Linked DNA regions of Xenopus tropicalis. The protein of the gene in region 2 interacts with the protein of the main gene of each other region in a biochemical or structural test. Links are inferred from orthologs where the notes say so. Each region holds a gene or a part of one and is shown on either strand. Other genes may lie near its edges.

The links.
Region 1: the proteins of abi1 (region 2) and enah form a complex in vitro, tested with the Homo sapiens proteins (2 studies listed by BioGRID). The link is inferred for Xenopus tropicalis from reciprocal best matches to the Homo sapiens genes ABI1 and ENAH.

The regions. Positions count from the first base shown.
Region 1 is NC_030681.2:8,526,998-8,533,739, forward strand, and holds part of enah (protein enabled homolog), read left to right. Parts: intron 1-564; coding exon 565-887; intron 888-1,656; coding exon 1,657-1,814; intron 1,815-1,905; coding exon 1,906-1,963; intron 1,964-3,690; coding exon 3,691-3,742; intron 3,743-4,591; coding exon 4,592-4,658; intron 4,659-4,776; coding exon 4,777-4,855; intron 4,856-5,627; coding exon 5,628-5,685; intron 5,686-6,742. UniProt on the Homo sapiens protein: Ena/VASP proteins are actin-associated proteins involved in a range of processes dependent on cytoskeleton remodeling and cell polarity such as axon guidance and lamellipodial and filopodial dynamics in migrating cells.
Region 2 is NC_030682.2:24,954,817-24,963,528, reverse strand, and holds the start of abi1 (abl interactor 1), read right to left. Parts: upstream 5,718-8,712; 5' UTR 5,627-5,717; coding exon 5,510-5,626; intron 1-5,509. UniProt on the Homo sapiens protein: May act in negative regulation of cell growth and transformation by interacting with nonreceptor tyrosine kinases ABL1 and/or ABL2. May play a role in regulation of EGF-induced Erk pathway activation. Involved in cytoskeletal reorganization and EGFR signaling.

The DNA.
Region 1 (6,742 bases), on a different chromosome or scaffold from region 2:
AAGACTGGAATTTGAATAGAGAGGGCCTGAATAGTAAGATAAGTAATAAAAAGTAACTATTAATACATCTGTAAGTGCATGGAGCAATAGATTTTGGCCGTCGGGGGTCAGTGATCCCCCTGGCACCCATAAAGCTGACCTATAGTGAATCAGTCTCTAGGTGAGGCAGAGGCAGCAGATTCTCAGCAGATATCACTGAGCGCTGATTATAACTTGATGACATCACTGAGCGCTGATTATAACGTGATGACATCACTGAGCGCTGATTATAACGTGATGACATCACTGAGTGCTGATTATACAGGTTGATTGAAGGTTCATCCATCCCACCAATGAGGTGCATGGAATAGAAGGCTAATGCCGGCCTGTAAGTGGCTGGGGCCGCCCCCGGCCAGTGAGACGCTGGGCTGCAGACAGTCTGTATGTGCTTTGACCAATAACCTGCAGCAGATCCTGTAACAGACGCTAGTGCCCCGTGTGGCTTTGTGAGCAGCTTTATTCAACTCATTCTGCTTCTTTTGCAGGTCGGCTTAATATTCTCTCATTTCCATTCTCCCGCGACAGGTGTAATACCCGGGCCCCCGGCACCTCCTCCCCCACCGCCTCTTCCTCCTGGTTCCAATTTGTCTCCGGTATCTGCCCCCCCAGCTCCACCTCTGCCCCCTCCACTTCCACCTTCGTGCCCAGCCCCACCTCCACCCCCTGGGCCGCCACCTCCACCTGGACCTCCGCCGCAGCTACTCAGCCAAGCTCCTCCTCCGGCTCCTCCTCCTCCGCCAGCACCTCCTCTTCCATCCTCTGCAGCTTCCTTTGGATCAGAAGAGAATCGTCCTTTATCCGGATTGGCTGCTGCTCTTGCAGGAGCCAAACTTCGAAAAGTGTCTCGGGTAATTCCAGCATTTTATTTGTGTGCTTTACGGCAGCTCAGTGTTTTAGCCTGAAATTTAGTTTCTTACATTAATTTATTGTTGCACAAATTATCCTAGTCATATCCTAAACCCGATCTCTTTTGTGTTGTAAAAACACTTAAATATACCTGTAGAACTGTCATAAATACTGAACAATTACTTATATAACAATACATATACATATGGTATCTCTGTACAGGCTATGAGCAAACTTAGGGGGCTGTTCCTGCTGAATTGTGCTTAGTACAGGGGAATCCCTATGTGCCATAGTTTTATGGTATCTCTCTGTACAGGCTATGAGCAAACTTAGGGGGCTGTTCCTGCTGAATTGTGCTTAGTACAGGGGAATCCCTATGTTCCATAGTTTTATGGTATCTCTCTGTACAGGCTATGAGCAAACTTAGGGGGCTGTTCCTGCTGAATTGTGCTTAGTACAGGGGAATCCCTATGTGCCATAGTTTTATGGTATCTCTCTGTACAGGCTATGAGCAAACTTAGGGGGCTGTTCCTGCTGAATTGTGCTTAGTACAGGGGAATCCCTATGTGCCATAGTTTTATGGTATCTCTCTGTACAGGCTATGAGCAAACTTAGGGGGCTGTTCCTGCTGAATTGTGCTTAGTACAGGGGAGGGAGGGATATGGTGTTTTTATACAGCATCTTCTCCTGCCTGCTGCTTACATTAACCCTTTCACTGCACACTGATGTTCTGACTTTTCCTACCCCCCCCCCCCCCTCTCCTGTATTCAGAATGAAGATTCCTCCCCTCAGGGGGCTGTAAGTGCCACTGGAACCAGCTCCGCTGCTGCTGCTGCTGCTGCTAAACCAGAACCGAGCCGTGGGAATGGGCCGCTCCCAATGGGAGGTGGGGGGCTGATGGAGGAGATGAGTGCCCTGCTAGCCAGAAGGTTAGGCCTGATGCTTGGCCTAGAGCGGTTATTGGACCCTGTGCAGGGAGGATAATGGCTTAACCCCTTGTTTTTGTCTTTCTCCCAAAAGGAGGCGAATAGCAGAAAAAGTACCAACAGTAGAAGCTGATCCAAAGGAAGACAAAGCTGTGAGTATTTATATATACATATACACATATACTTGGTAATGGTATGACTTTCCCAGTAATACTATGGGCACACAGAATGGTATGACTTTCCCAGTAATACTATGGGCACACTGAATGGTATGACTTTCCCAGTAATACTATGGGCACACAGAATGGTATGACTTTCCCAGTAATACTATGGGCACACGGAATGGTATGACTTTCCCAGTAATACTATGGGCACACAGAATGGTATGACTTTCCCAGTAATACTATGGGCACACAGAATGGTATGACTTTCCCAGTAATACTATGGGCACACAGAATGGTATGACTTTCCCAGTAATACTATGGGCACACTGAATGGTATGACTTTCCCAGTAATACTATGGGCACACAGAATGGTATGACTTTCCCAGTAATACTATGGGCACACTGAATGGTATGACTTTCCCAGTAATACTATGGGCACACAGAATGGTATGACTTTCCCAGTAATACTATGGGCACACTGAATGGTATGACTTTCCCAGTAATACTATGGGCACACAGAATGGTATGACTTTCCCAGTAATACTATGGGCACACGGAATGGTATGACTTTCCCAGTAATACTATGGGCACACAGAATGGTATGACTTTCCCAGTAATACTATGGGCACACAGAATGGTATGACTTTCCCAGTAATACTATGGGCACACTGAATGGTATGACTTTCCCAGTAATACTATGGGCACACGGAATGGTATGACTTTCCCAGTAATACTATGGGCACACTGAATGGTATGACTTTCCCAGTAATACTATGGGCACACAGAATGGTATGACTTTCCCAGTAATACTATGGGCACACTGAATGGTATGACTTTCCCAGTAATACTATGGGCACACAGAATGGTATGACTTTCCCAGTAATACTATGGGCACACTGAATGGTATGACTTTCCCAGTAATACTATGGGCACACGGAATGGTATGACTTTCCCAGTAATACTATGGGCACACAGAATGGTATGACTTTCCCAGTAATACTATGGGCACACTGAATGGTATGACTTTCCCAGTAATACTATGGGCACACGGAATGGTATGACTTTCCCAGTAATACTATGGGCACACGGAATGGTATGACTTTCCCAGTAATACTATGGGCACACGGAATGGTATGACTTTCCCAGTAATACTATGGGCACACAGAATGGTATGACTTTCCCAGTAATACTATGGGCACACAGAATGGTATGACTTTCCCAGTAATACTATGGGCACACAGAATGGTATGACTTTCCCAGTAATACTATGGGCACACAGAATGGTATGACTTTCCCAGTAATACTATGGGCACACAGAATGGTATGACTTTCCCAGTAATACTATGGGCACACAGAATGGTATGACTTTCCCAGTAATACTATGGGCACACAGAATGGTATGACTTTCCCAGTAATACTATGGGCACACAGAATGGTATGACTTTCCCAGTAATACTATGGGCACACAGAATGGTATGACTTTCCCAGTAATACTATGGGCCTATAGGATAAGTATTCCAGCAATGTTGTGCTTACATAGAAATGAAAGGGCTTGAGAATTGCCCTTTCCCACCGTGCATACTTATAGAAACAAATGCATTACTGGAGCCTATACATACACTGTGCCCCCAGTGCAACCATGTAAAACGCCTTTCCTTCCAACACATTTGCACTGAATAATAATAATAATAATACCTGCATCTTGTTATTAACAGGAGGAAGCACCTGAGTCTGTACCTAGCAAGGCCCCCTCGGCCAGCACTCCCGGTGAGTAGCCTCAGGAACCCTGGGGGACCAGTCATTAGTTTGCTCACAGAGCAATTACAGATAATTCACATAAGGGTTTTGTTATAAACACCAGAGTCAATGTAAATGAGATTCTCAGATCTACACTGCCGCTCTAGGTACTGGCCCAAGGGGACCGATATGCCCCCCACCAGTGACTCAGGGGCAACATGCTGCTCCCGAACCCCATGGATGTTGCTCTCAGTGTCCCCAAAGCAGGGAGTTATTTTTGAATTCATGGCTTGGAGGCATAAGGACATTGTGTAGCAAACAGAGCCCCCTGCAGGCTGTTGGTCCACATAGGGACTGCCAAATAGCCAATCACAGTCCATATTAGGCATCCCAGGAACTTTTAAGGGTGAAGACACACGGAGCTACTAGTAGCAGCTACTTGTCACGGCTACTAAAATAGACAATGCTGATAATTTACGGATAACTGTCTCTACGTGTGTTTTAGCAGAGGCAATTCTCAGTATTGTCTATGGCAGGGGATTTTCTGGTGTTTAGTAGCCATGAAAAAGTAGCTGCTACTAGTAGCGCAGTGTGTCTTCACCCTAAATGCTTGTGTTGCTTCCCTGACCTTTTATAACATTCCGTCCATAGATTCAGGTAGCCCTTATCTCATTACTAACCTTGCTTGTCTAACCGAGCTGCTGAGGCGGCAGAGCAAAGGAACCACTGAACCTGTACAAAGCATAAATACAGTATATGAAATCAGAGCCCCTAATGTAACAGTAAATAACAGAGCATTATATTCTTTATAATTAAGTTATAAAATGTTAACGTATATTCATTGAATGTAACAGAGCTGCTGTTTATGTTTCTGTGCAGAACCAACTAGGAAACCTTGGGAAAGGACGAACACAATAAATGGCAGCAAGTCGCCGGTTATCTCTAGGTATCCCGCTCGCTTTAGTTATTTATTCCCATCGTTTGGTCAGAATCCCCCCCTAACCATGTACTTAGAGCCCTTTATTATCTGCACCCGTTTATACTTGTCCTTTTTACTTTTCCAGACCAAAGTCTACACCATCTGGGCAGCCAAGTGCCAATGGAGTACAGTCAGAAACATTAGACTATGACAGATTGAAGCAGGTACAGAATCACATTCATGGGCAGTTTGGATTGTGGTGGGGCTTTTATTTGAGAGGGGGGGTTAAGCTTTAAACAAAGCTGCATTAACTGGAAACATCCAGAAATAAATCATTAGGGTTGAGGAGACTGCCTCATACGTATGCAAATAAACACAAGGAGTTCTGGGAAGTAATGCCAAAGAGCTTTTTGGGATTAGTTGCCAGAATTCCTTGTGTTTATGGGAACAGCCAGGAAATGGAAGTGTAACTGCACAGTGGAGCTGCTAGATGGCAGTATTTGCACAGCTAGAACATACAAAGGGTTAAGGTGGCCGTACGGGGGCAGATTTAAGCTACCTTCAGACTCGGCAGTTTATCTGCCTATGTATGGGTAATCACGACCGGCCTACCAACTGATATTGGGCGCATCTCGATCAGGCAGGATTGATTTTCTCTCGGATTGGGGACCGCGTCGGCTCATTGGTGCAGTCCGATGGCGCCCAGTTTAATTCCATAGGACAAAACAATAGAATCAGCCCAATATTGGGTATATCGTGAGAAATGTTTGGCAGGGTCCCCAAACAAGCGGATTGCACTGTATATGGCCACCCCCCTATCAGGTCTTTGGAATGGGGGGGCTGTTATATTGGGGGGAATTTTGTTGCTTATTATCAGCCATATGTATTTGATGCATTGTGTGGGGGGGGGGGTAAGTCCCAATAACACAGGTAAATAATGGAAGCGCTGGGGGGCAGGAGTCATGTTTAGTAACTGTTTTTCTCTTTGCACTGTAGGATATATTAGAAGAAATGAGAAAAGAACTAACAAAACTTAAAGAAGAACTTATTGATGGTGAGTGTAATCAGATTAATGGCAGATGAATTACTTGCCCCGCCCCTTTTGTGACATCCGAGGTGGACGGGTTGAGCGCTGATCTATAAATACAGGGTACCTGCCGGGTTGGGCTCAGGCTGGGAGCGGGCGGGTTAGGGTCAACCTGGACAACACTACCAGGGTCCCTTTAGGGCCAAGACACATGGGGCGATTAGTAGCCAGGACCTTTTAAAAAGTCACAGCAACTAAGGATAAGAACCCACAGAGCAGTTGAGTCGCCTGTGATAGATCTCTGCTATCGCGGGTGACAATCCGCTCCGAAAGGGCAACAATAGGAGTGACCCTTAGGGTGAAGACACACAGAGCTACTTAGTAGCAGCTACAGAAACAGACAACTGCTGATCATTTACTGATAATTGCCCCTACGTGAGTTTAGCAGAGGGAATTCTCAGTACTGTCTGTGGCAGGGGGTTTCCTGGGATTTAGTAGCCGTGACAAGTAGCTGCTACCGAAATGCCATCCCACCAGCAAGAATGTAAATCGCCGGTGGAATCGCACACGCAGCGCCAAAATCTCCAACGTTTCCTCTTGAGGCAACTTCGGCGATCGCGGCACCGCGTATACCATCCCACCTGCAATTTACATTATATATAGCCTGTGGGATGCTATATTGCCCGCGATTAATCTCCCCGTCTGTCACGGCCCTAAGGTAAAGACACATGCGGCAATTCGTAGCCATGTTTTTTTAAAAAGTCGCAGTGACTAATCCACACAGCGAAAACCACATGTAATTAATAGCCACGGCTTATATAGTAGCCTATGGCAGGAAAGTTGCAGTGACTAATCACCCCATGTGTCTTTGCCCTTAGAGTGAACTACTTATAGCAGCTACTGAAATAGTCAGTGCTGATCATTTACTGATAATTGTCTCTACGTGTGTTTTAGCAGAGGCAATTCCCAGTATTGTCTATGGCAGGGGATTTTCTGGCGTTTAGTAGCCGTTAAAAAGTAGCTGCTACTAAGTAGCTCTGTGTGTCTTCACCCCTAAATTAAGGGCACTTGGCAGCTTTGGTCT
Region 2 (8,712 bases):
TTCGCTGTGTGTATGGCGGCTCGACGAGGCGAACGATATGCCAAAACTCGTCGATCAGGCGCCATTGAAGGCACCCGAGCAAAATCTACGTTCAGGGCTGAATCGGCAGAAGGAGGTAGAATTTCTATTGTTTCTACCTCCTTATCTGATGATTCAGTCCTGAACGTCAGTGGAGGGTGGGAACAATTTTTTGTGCGACCGTCTTAACAGTACACGGGGCATGTCAGCCGCTGCCATCCAGCGGAAAACACATATACACCACAGGACCATAGCAAGTGTCTCACTGAGGAATCAATTAGCCTTTATCTAAAATGAATATTCCTACACTGCCTCCTCATAAAATTGACTAATTGAGAAACCCATAGTGCAGCTCTTATTATAAAATGCCATGGACAATTAAAGTGACCAATGCTATGGGCATATGCTATTCTGCACAGAGAGCTTATTTTTTTGTAAGTTTGCATTAACTCAAGTAGGTGCAGCCGTGATTGCCCTAACCTAAACCCATCTAAAAATGCTAATAAACCTGTCCTACTCTGGCCAAAATGGTGGAATGCTTGTACAAGCTAACCAAGCAATACCTTTTTCACAAAGCAGATTTTGCTCCACAATTAGTTAGATGTCACTTTAAGATAAGAGTCAAATTTCTCACTGCAAAAAAAAAGCCAAAAGGGGTAGTTTGCTTTTAGGTTTTTAGCATCTTATAGAATGTCCACTTCTTTGAAAATAAATATATAAGTATATATGATTGCTGCCTTTCTATTATCAAGAATCACTTAGCCCGGAAGCCAAAAGCCTGGCAAAGCTGCAATGTTATTGTTACTTTCTACTTATTTCCTCTCCTACTCATCTTATTCACACCACTGTGTGGTTGCTATGGCAAACTGGAACCTAGCAACCAGGTAACTGCTGTAATTCCAAGCTGGAGAGCTACTGAACAAAAATCTAAATAAAACACAAACAGACACAAAAAAATAGAAAATAAGACCAACTGTCTCAGAATATCACTGTCTACATCATACCAAAAAAATTTTGGTGACCTAACCCTTAAACCAGACTATGACTGGGCCAGATTTTTATTACCCCAAGTGATTTTTACACCGGCATTATTGCTTTGCCAACAATTCAAATTTTGTGTGATTGTGCCTTTACAAATCTGACCCACAAGGTCTCTTTTTATGATCCGATTGTAATTTTTATGCAAGCTTGTACTTTTTTTTCCATGTGAAAAATGCCACAGAACGGTTAGTGTGTTTTCCATTCTTGAGTAAGAACACATGAACGAGAAAATTTGCAAAGTATTTAAAAAAAATCTTGATCTGCGGGAGAAACCAGTTCTTTGTTGAGATCTAACTACCTTTGATAAATGAAACCTTGTGTTTATTTTTATAGGTTTTATTTATTTTAAACATCTTATCAGGTACAACAAAGGAGTGACAAAAGAAATGAGTAGTCGAGTCATGAGAGATGAACATGCCATCAGAGTGGAGAAAGCTGTAAATGCATTGGCGTTCATATAAGAATGTACAGAGTACGAATACTTGTATACAGTCAGTAGTATGATATAAATGACCCAGTCCTGGGAAAGATTAAGCGCATACATGCAAATGCAGACTGTGCCATGGGATAGTCTGGGACTGTGTCTACCTGGGGGCCCAGAATATTGTTAGATTTCTCTGGCCTGGGATTCTTATGTTATTTCAATCAGGGGGAGTCTTGTTAACTAGTCACTGCCAAGCAGCCATTTCTCTCATACATATATTTGAGATATTCCAGCTTCTGTCAGGTGAAAACCATAGAAAGCAAGTTGCACGTAAAACTTAGCCCCTATAGAAAAGCCTTAATGAATCAGATGAAAGTGAGTGTAGGACTGGCCAGACCAGGGATGACTTTGATGTAGTTGGCCAGCTTGAATATATTGCAATATATGGACAAACAATCACTGGGGAGGGCATTGCTTGGTAGCTTAATGCACAGAATGTCTTATGTATGTCCTATATATATTACTAATGGGTGAGTGCAGAGGATCTCGTTTCTGTCAATGTGTCTGAACTGAGGCTATGGCCACATGCAGCAGGATCCTGTAGAAGGCAGTTACCTTGACCCTCATTCATTCTATTACTCTTATTTCTTGAAGAAACTATAATAATCAATACCAAGTCACAAAGGTGCAGTTTTTTCCAGCCTGACTGTTTTGCCATTTCTTCTTGTCATTTCTTACCAAAACAATGTGACTTCTGACCTGAGTGAATGGCACAGTATTACCCACGTATCTGTGCAACTGGAGACCATCCTAAAGTCAATACCATTAACAAAGTGCCATCATTTATAAACTAAGCAATGACCATCTACTGCCACATTAAGCTGCAAGATTTTATTCAATGCATTATTACGGTCTTCAATACACATCAGCCATAAATATCTATAAATGATATCCTTATAAACAGTCCTTAGTGATGTCATCAGTTATTATCGGTTCATAGAGAGGAAGTTGCCCATACAGGGAGGATTTCTGCCCAAAAACACACAAGTGTGCCTTTTTGGGCAGAAGAAAATGGTGTGACATAGGCCTTAAAGGGGTGGTTCACCTTCACACCTTCACTTCTAGCAATTCTTTTCAAAATCATTTTTGAATAATATGCTTTCCTCTTCTGACTCTTTCCAGCTTTCAAAAGGGGGTCACTGACCCCGGAAGCCAAAAAACTATTGCTCTTTGTGGCTACAATTTCATAATTATTGTAACTTTTTACAGCTTATCTTTCTATTCAGACCCACTGCTTTTCTTATTCCAGTTTTTCATTTGGACCACTGCCTGGTTGCTAGGGTAATTTGGACCCTAGCAACCATATAGCTGCTAAAATTCCAAACTGAAGAGTTGCTGAATAAAAAGCTAAATATTTCAAAAACAAAAATAATAAAAACATGAAAACCAATTGCAAATTGTTTCAGAATAGGACTCTCTACATCACGAAAAGTTAATTTAAAAGGTGAACAACCCCTTTAATGCTCCAGGTTATGGAAAGATCCCTTATCTAGCTTACCTCTTTACAAACATTAAGCTATACTGAATGGCATACAACTGTATCCCTGAGCCAAAAATACATTTTACAAGAAAGCTGCAAAGGCTTTCGCATCAAGCAGAGGCTATGCCACAGCTGTCATTCCACAATGCTGTCTGACGCAAAGCCTCACATTCAGCTCTATGGCACAGCAGCCCATTGGCTCAAAAAGAGAACTGATGGATTTATTCACATGTCAAATAATTGCAACATGCACCACAGTAGCTTTGTTGCTTCTGAACAGTTCTTGTGCCTTTTGTAATATTGCATCCTTGCAGAATGTCAGCACTTTATAAATGTGTGATATTAATACAGCCCATACCTGTAATAATATAATCCTAGCTTATAGCAATATAAATGGCACTTTGTATTCAGGAAGAAACAACCCCCATAACATACATGCTCAATCCCAAAGTTATGGGGGTGATTTCTTACTTTGTTGAAAGTAAAAGATGTGTTTCATTAAACTTCCCCTTTAAATAAACATTTAGCATGGACCTAATCTAAGTAACATGATTATAATTTCAGACTAATTTGATTTATTATTCTCCTCAGCAGCAGATCAAGAAGGCTGGAGTCTGGGACACCAAAACCCATTAACATGTGGATTATGACACAAATCTATTGCTATTACATTTTTATTGCTTATCTGTCTGATAATGCCCCCTATATCCACTTTCCATTCGGAATTCCAAGCTGTCACCTGGTTGCCATGGTAATTAAGCCCAAGCAACTAGCAAGCGGCCTCAATTCCCAGCCTGAGAACTGTGAAATAAAAAAAAATGACAAATCGTCTTGGCACAAAACTATCCATGCCCGCAGAAGCGGCCACATTTTGGCTAATCCTATTCTTACAGCTGCACAACTACCAATAGAATCCAAGTGGAAAACCCTGGGATTCACCATCCCTACCTGATTTTTTTTTTTCTTTTGTAACTGAAATTTTATTGAAGAGAAAAATAAAAACAAACATATCAGACAGATCACTGCAGCGAATAAACCCTACCTGAAGAAACAGTTAGTACCAATAGGATCACTGAATATGGGATAGCAACTCTCCAGAATACAATAGCTCAGTATATGGCTGTCTGGGCACTGTGAGAGCTACAAGGTCTGGCCTCCTGACTGCTTTACCTACACCCAGCCCAACATGATCCCTTAAAAAACTCTGAAAAGTTCTTCTTTTGAACCGATCTGTCACACTCACACCCCTCTGTCCCTCTTACTGTGCATCCAACTGATTATTATTACATTTATACAGTTTTTCATATTGTTGTTGTTTTCTTTTCTATCACTGTCTGGACAACATAAATACACTTTGCACTGCTATACTCGAAGTATACTTCGAAGTACTTGAAGTATGCGATTTCACAAAGCCAACTACAGTGTGTCTTTTGCAATGTAAAAATAACTAAAAATAAAAAGTTACAATAAAAAAATAAAATAAAAACTCTCCATGCCATAGTAAAGGTTAATTTCAAGGCAACAGAAAACAGGCACCTGGACAGCAGGGTTCCAGCATACAGAGCAGCACTTTATTTCCCCTGATATAAGGCAGGGTGAGTATCTGACCATTCTGTACCTGAAATCACCTTCATAAATGCTGACCAACAGAATGAAAGTTCCTGTAATACAATACTACTACAGAGCCCTTCCTGCCACATAGAAGCGACAGACTGACACTAACACCCTTGTGTTCTTACTTGTGTGTATCTATATCATTAATAGTAACATGAAGTGCCGGCATATACTGCTGCGCTGTACAATAGAAGGGTGCACATCAGCCATTTAAACACTGCCCAATACAGGGCACAGGGCCCTGCCTAACCCCATCCCTGCACTGGCACCATTGAATATTATAAGAATAATGATAAATGGAAAGCCAGAAGGCTAGAGGTGTAAGGGCTTTGTTATAAAGGCAGCCCCTGGGTAGAGGAACCCTAGAGTTGAGCTGCTAGACAAAGGCTCCCTGAAGTCCTTCCCAGGGAGAGGCAATGCTTCCCGGCTGTGTCTAGACAGGCAGGAGACACAAAGCCCCATATTAATGGCAGCAGGGCAGCCCCAGAGACATGTGCCTAGGGCTTCGCTCCATAACCCTCCTGCCTTACAGCACCCAGGGGAGATCTCTGGGAGGTGACTCACAATCAAACAAAAAAAAAAAGGGCAACACCCTATGGGCTGAACCGGGATACACCCACAGCCGCTAGCACTGACACAGGCTCCATACCGAAAGTACTCCCTCCAAGGGGGCTCCGATCTGTAGCCCCGCAACTGTAAGCGAACTACAACTCCCATGAGCCCCTGGCAGCCGCTTGTTGTCTATATGCAGCCCTAGCAAGGCCGCCAGTTGGATATGTTTGAGTTTCAGGATGCCCCACTTCCTGCCCCCCCTCCCCTTTCACTGACATAAACACGCCCGAATACAGGGTGCTGACCAGCCCGCCGCTTACCTGGATATAGTTGGACTCGCAGTAGTCGGCCACCCGGGTCAGGTTGTGGAAGCTCTCGATCAGAGCTTTCTTCCCGGCGGGGATCTCCTCCTCTAGTAACATCTGTAGCTCAGCCATCTTCCAGCCCTGCGCATCGCTTCCTCCTTTTACACTGAGGGAAGAACAGCTAAGTCCACACCCGCCAGGCTGCCTGCCTGCTCAAGCCTGGTATTCTGGGATTCCCAGCCTCGCTTTCACCCCAGGCTCCTCCCCTCAAAAGCGCTTCGCCCCTTCAGCTCGCCGCTGTCACCAGGAAACCTGCGCAGAGCACTCTGGGAGTTGCTGTGGGGTGGGCGCCGTGACCAGGAAATCCACTCAAAGCACTTTGGGATATGTAGAAACTCCTCACAGTGGGGCTGCTGTGTAGTAGCAATACAGGGTTCTGTGCTTTATAGTATGACTAAGTAAGCTTGTGGCTATGAGGGCCATACAGTTTGTTATAGGAAGTACTATGCCGTTACATGCACCCACGCAAATGTTATGTGGGTTTTAATGCCAAGCGCATGTTATGAGGATGAGCCAACCCTAGCATATTACAGGCTGGGAGTTGCCACCTTTTCTGACAATAAATACCAGCTCTGCTCTAATCGTATTGATTTTCATGTTTATAACATTGGCATTTGCAGCTGCCAGGTGGTAACCCTGTTCTGACCTGATTTCACGTTACCATTTGGGGTAATGGCACAGGGCTAGTGTGGCTGTACTGGGGGCAAGGTTAGCGGTAAGGTTAGGGTTGCCTCTGGGCCAGTAGCACACCAGCTGGGGCTGGGCCATTATTATTACAGGCAATACACTTGCTGCTAATATTATAAACCTCTCTGGCCCATCTGAATCATCTTGAAAGCACAGTCACAATAAGGTGTCTCTCCCTGATTGGCCTGTAGCCTGACCAGTCATGTCATCACCCCCAACCACAGGACGGGGCCTGGGAAAGGCTACCACAAAGCAGCTCTATCCGGGCTCGGTGCTGCCCTAGGCACCGGCCCCCAGACCACCTTCACAGTCTGCGTACTCAACTATCACAGAAGAGAAAAGAACCCCCCCTCCACCTTGGCTTTAACTCTGGATTAAGCTGCAAATATATATCTATATATACATACCTCCCAACATTTGAAAAATGAAAAGAGGGACAAAAAGAGTTGGTGCGCGCAGCACGGCAAATTTGTTTGGCCACGCCCACTTTGTGGCCACGCCCCAATTTCCACACCCTATTTTTAAAATAGTTAAAATTGTGCCCCCAATGGCCCAATAGACAGTAGCCCCCATACACATTGCCCCCCATACACAGTAGCCCCCAATTTCCCCCATAGAGAGTACCTCCAATAGAAAATTCCCCCCATACACAATGCCCCCCATAGAGAGTACCTCCAATAGAAAATGCCCCCCATACACAGTAGCCCCCAATTGCCCCCATAGAGAGTACCTCCAATAGTAAATGCCCCCCATACACAGTGCCCCACATAGACGCTGCTTCTTGTGGCTCCTGCTCCTTATGCGGCTCCTTCTATGGCAGCGACAGGCCCTTTTATAAGGTTGCGCCCGTGCGTACGTGTGACGTCACACATACGCACGGGCGCAAACTTATAAAAGGGCCTGTCACCGCCATACGAGGAGCAGAATAAGAAGCAGGAGCCACAGGACTAGACGGAGCCCGAGCGCTTGGCTGCAGTCAGCGCATCCCGCTGGCCTGGATAGTTTAATGAATGTTCTGCATTTTCGTAATGCGGGACATTCATTGAACAATCTGGGACAGCGGGTTGCGCTGTAAAAACTGGGACACTTGGGGGGTATGTATATATATAGGGGATGCACCGAATCCAGGATTCGGTTCGGGATTTGGGTAAGATTCTACTTTTTTCATCAGGATTTGGCCAAATACATTCTCCTAGCCAAACCAAATCCTTAAAATCACGTGAATTTTTGTCACATAAGCACGGAAGTTGAACATTTCCTATGGCGCTCATTAATCCTTCCATATCCTAATTTCCATATGTAAATTAGTATTTGTATTCGGTTTGGTATTTGGCCGAATCCTTTTTGGGTGAATTCATGTTCCTGGCCGAACCAAATCCTTAAAATCACGTGACTTTTTGTCACATAAACAGGGAAGTTGAACATTTATTATGAGGCTCTTTAACCCTTCCATATCCTTTCCATATTCGTATTCAGTTCGGTATTGGCCGAATCCTTTACGGGGTTCACCCGAATCCAAAAATAGTGGATATGGTGCATCCGTAATATAAATATATATAGGCACCTGTGGGCTACCTCTCTAGATTGCCACCTTGGGCACAGGCACTTGGGTACCTGTATATGAATAGAGCACTGCCACAAAGCTTCATGCAACACCCCCAGAGATGCATCTAAATCACCTGACAAGCATTCATCAGGCTATTCCACTATAATTTCTTTAAAGGGTGTGACATTTTGGGTGCTGAGAGTGAAGAGGAATTCAGTTTTACACCAAGACTAGATTATTACTTGTGTGACATGGGGAGTAGTTGACATCTGTGTGCTTCAGCAATGTTAATCCCTAAGGGCAGTGGCACACAGAGAGATTAGTCGCGGGCGACTAATATCTGCCTAATTGCCCTGCATCCCCACCAGTACACACAGGACTATTAACAGTGCAGCACAACAGTAAACTATATTTTAATTACTTTTATTTTTTGGTGTTACTGTTCACATCTGATAGATCTGTGTTAATTTATGTCCATTTATGTTAATCTTACCCTGCCTGCCCACCAAACAATCTTTTCCATGAATTTTCCAAAATGTTGGCTTTTTACAAAATCTTACTTCTCCATCTACTGCTGCTTTAGAGAAGCACAGCCATTTCAGATCTTGTGCCCACTTCCTCTCTTGATTTTAATAATGGTGATATCCACCCAAATCTTTGTTCCTGCCACATTTGCTTTCATCCTCTCAGTACTTTGCCTTTGTTCAAGCCATTTACACCTCTGCCCAATAATCTTATTTAGAATCCAACTTGCTTCCTATCTCCCCTCTCTTGTGCTATATTGATTTGTTTTGTTATTTGACAGAATGTGTGTCCTTCTCATGATAAAAAATGCCAATAAACCTGTGCTCTCTCATGATGGCTTTTCTTTCTCTCACATCCCACTGGCTGCGGGGGAGACTAGGCATTTTCCTCTTTTCTAATT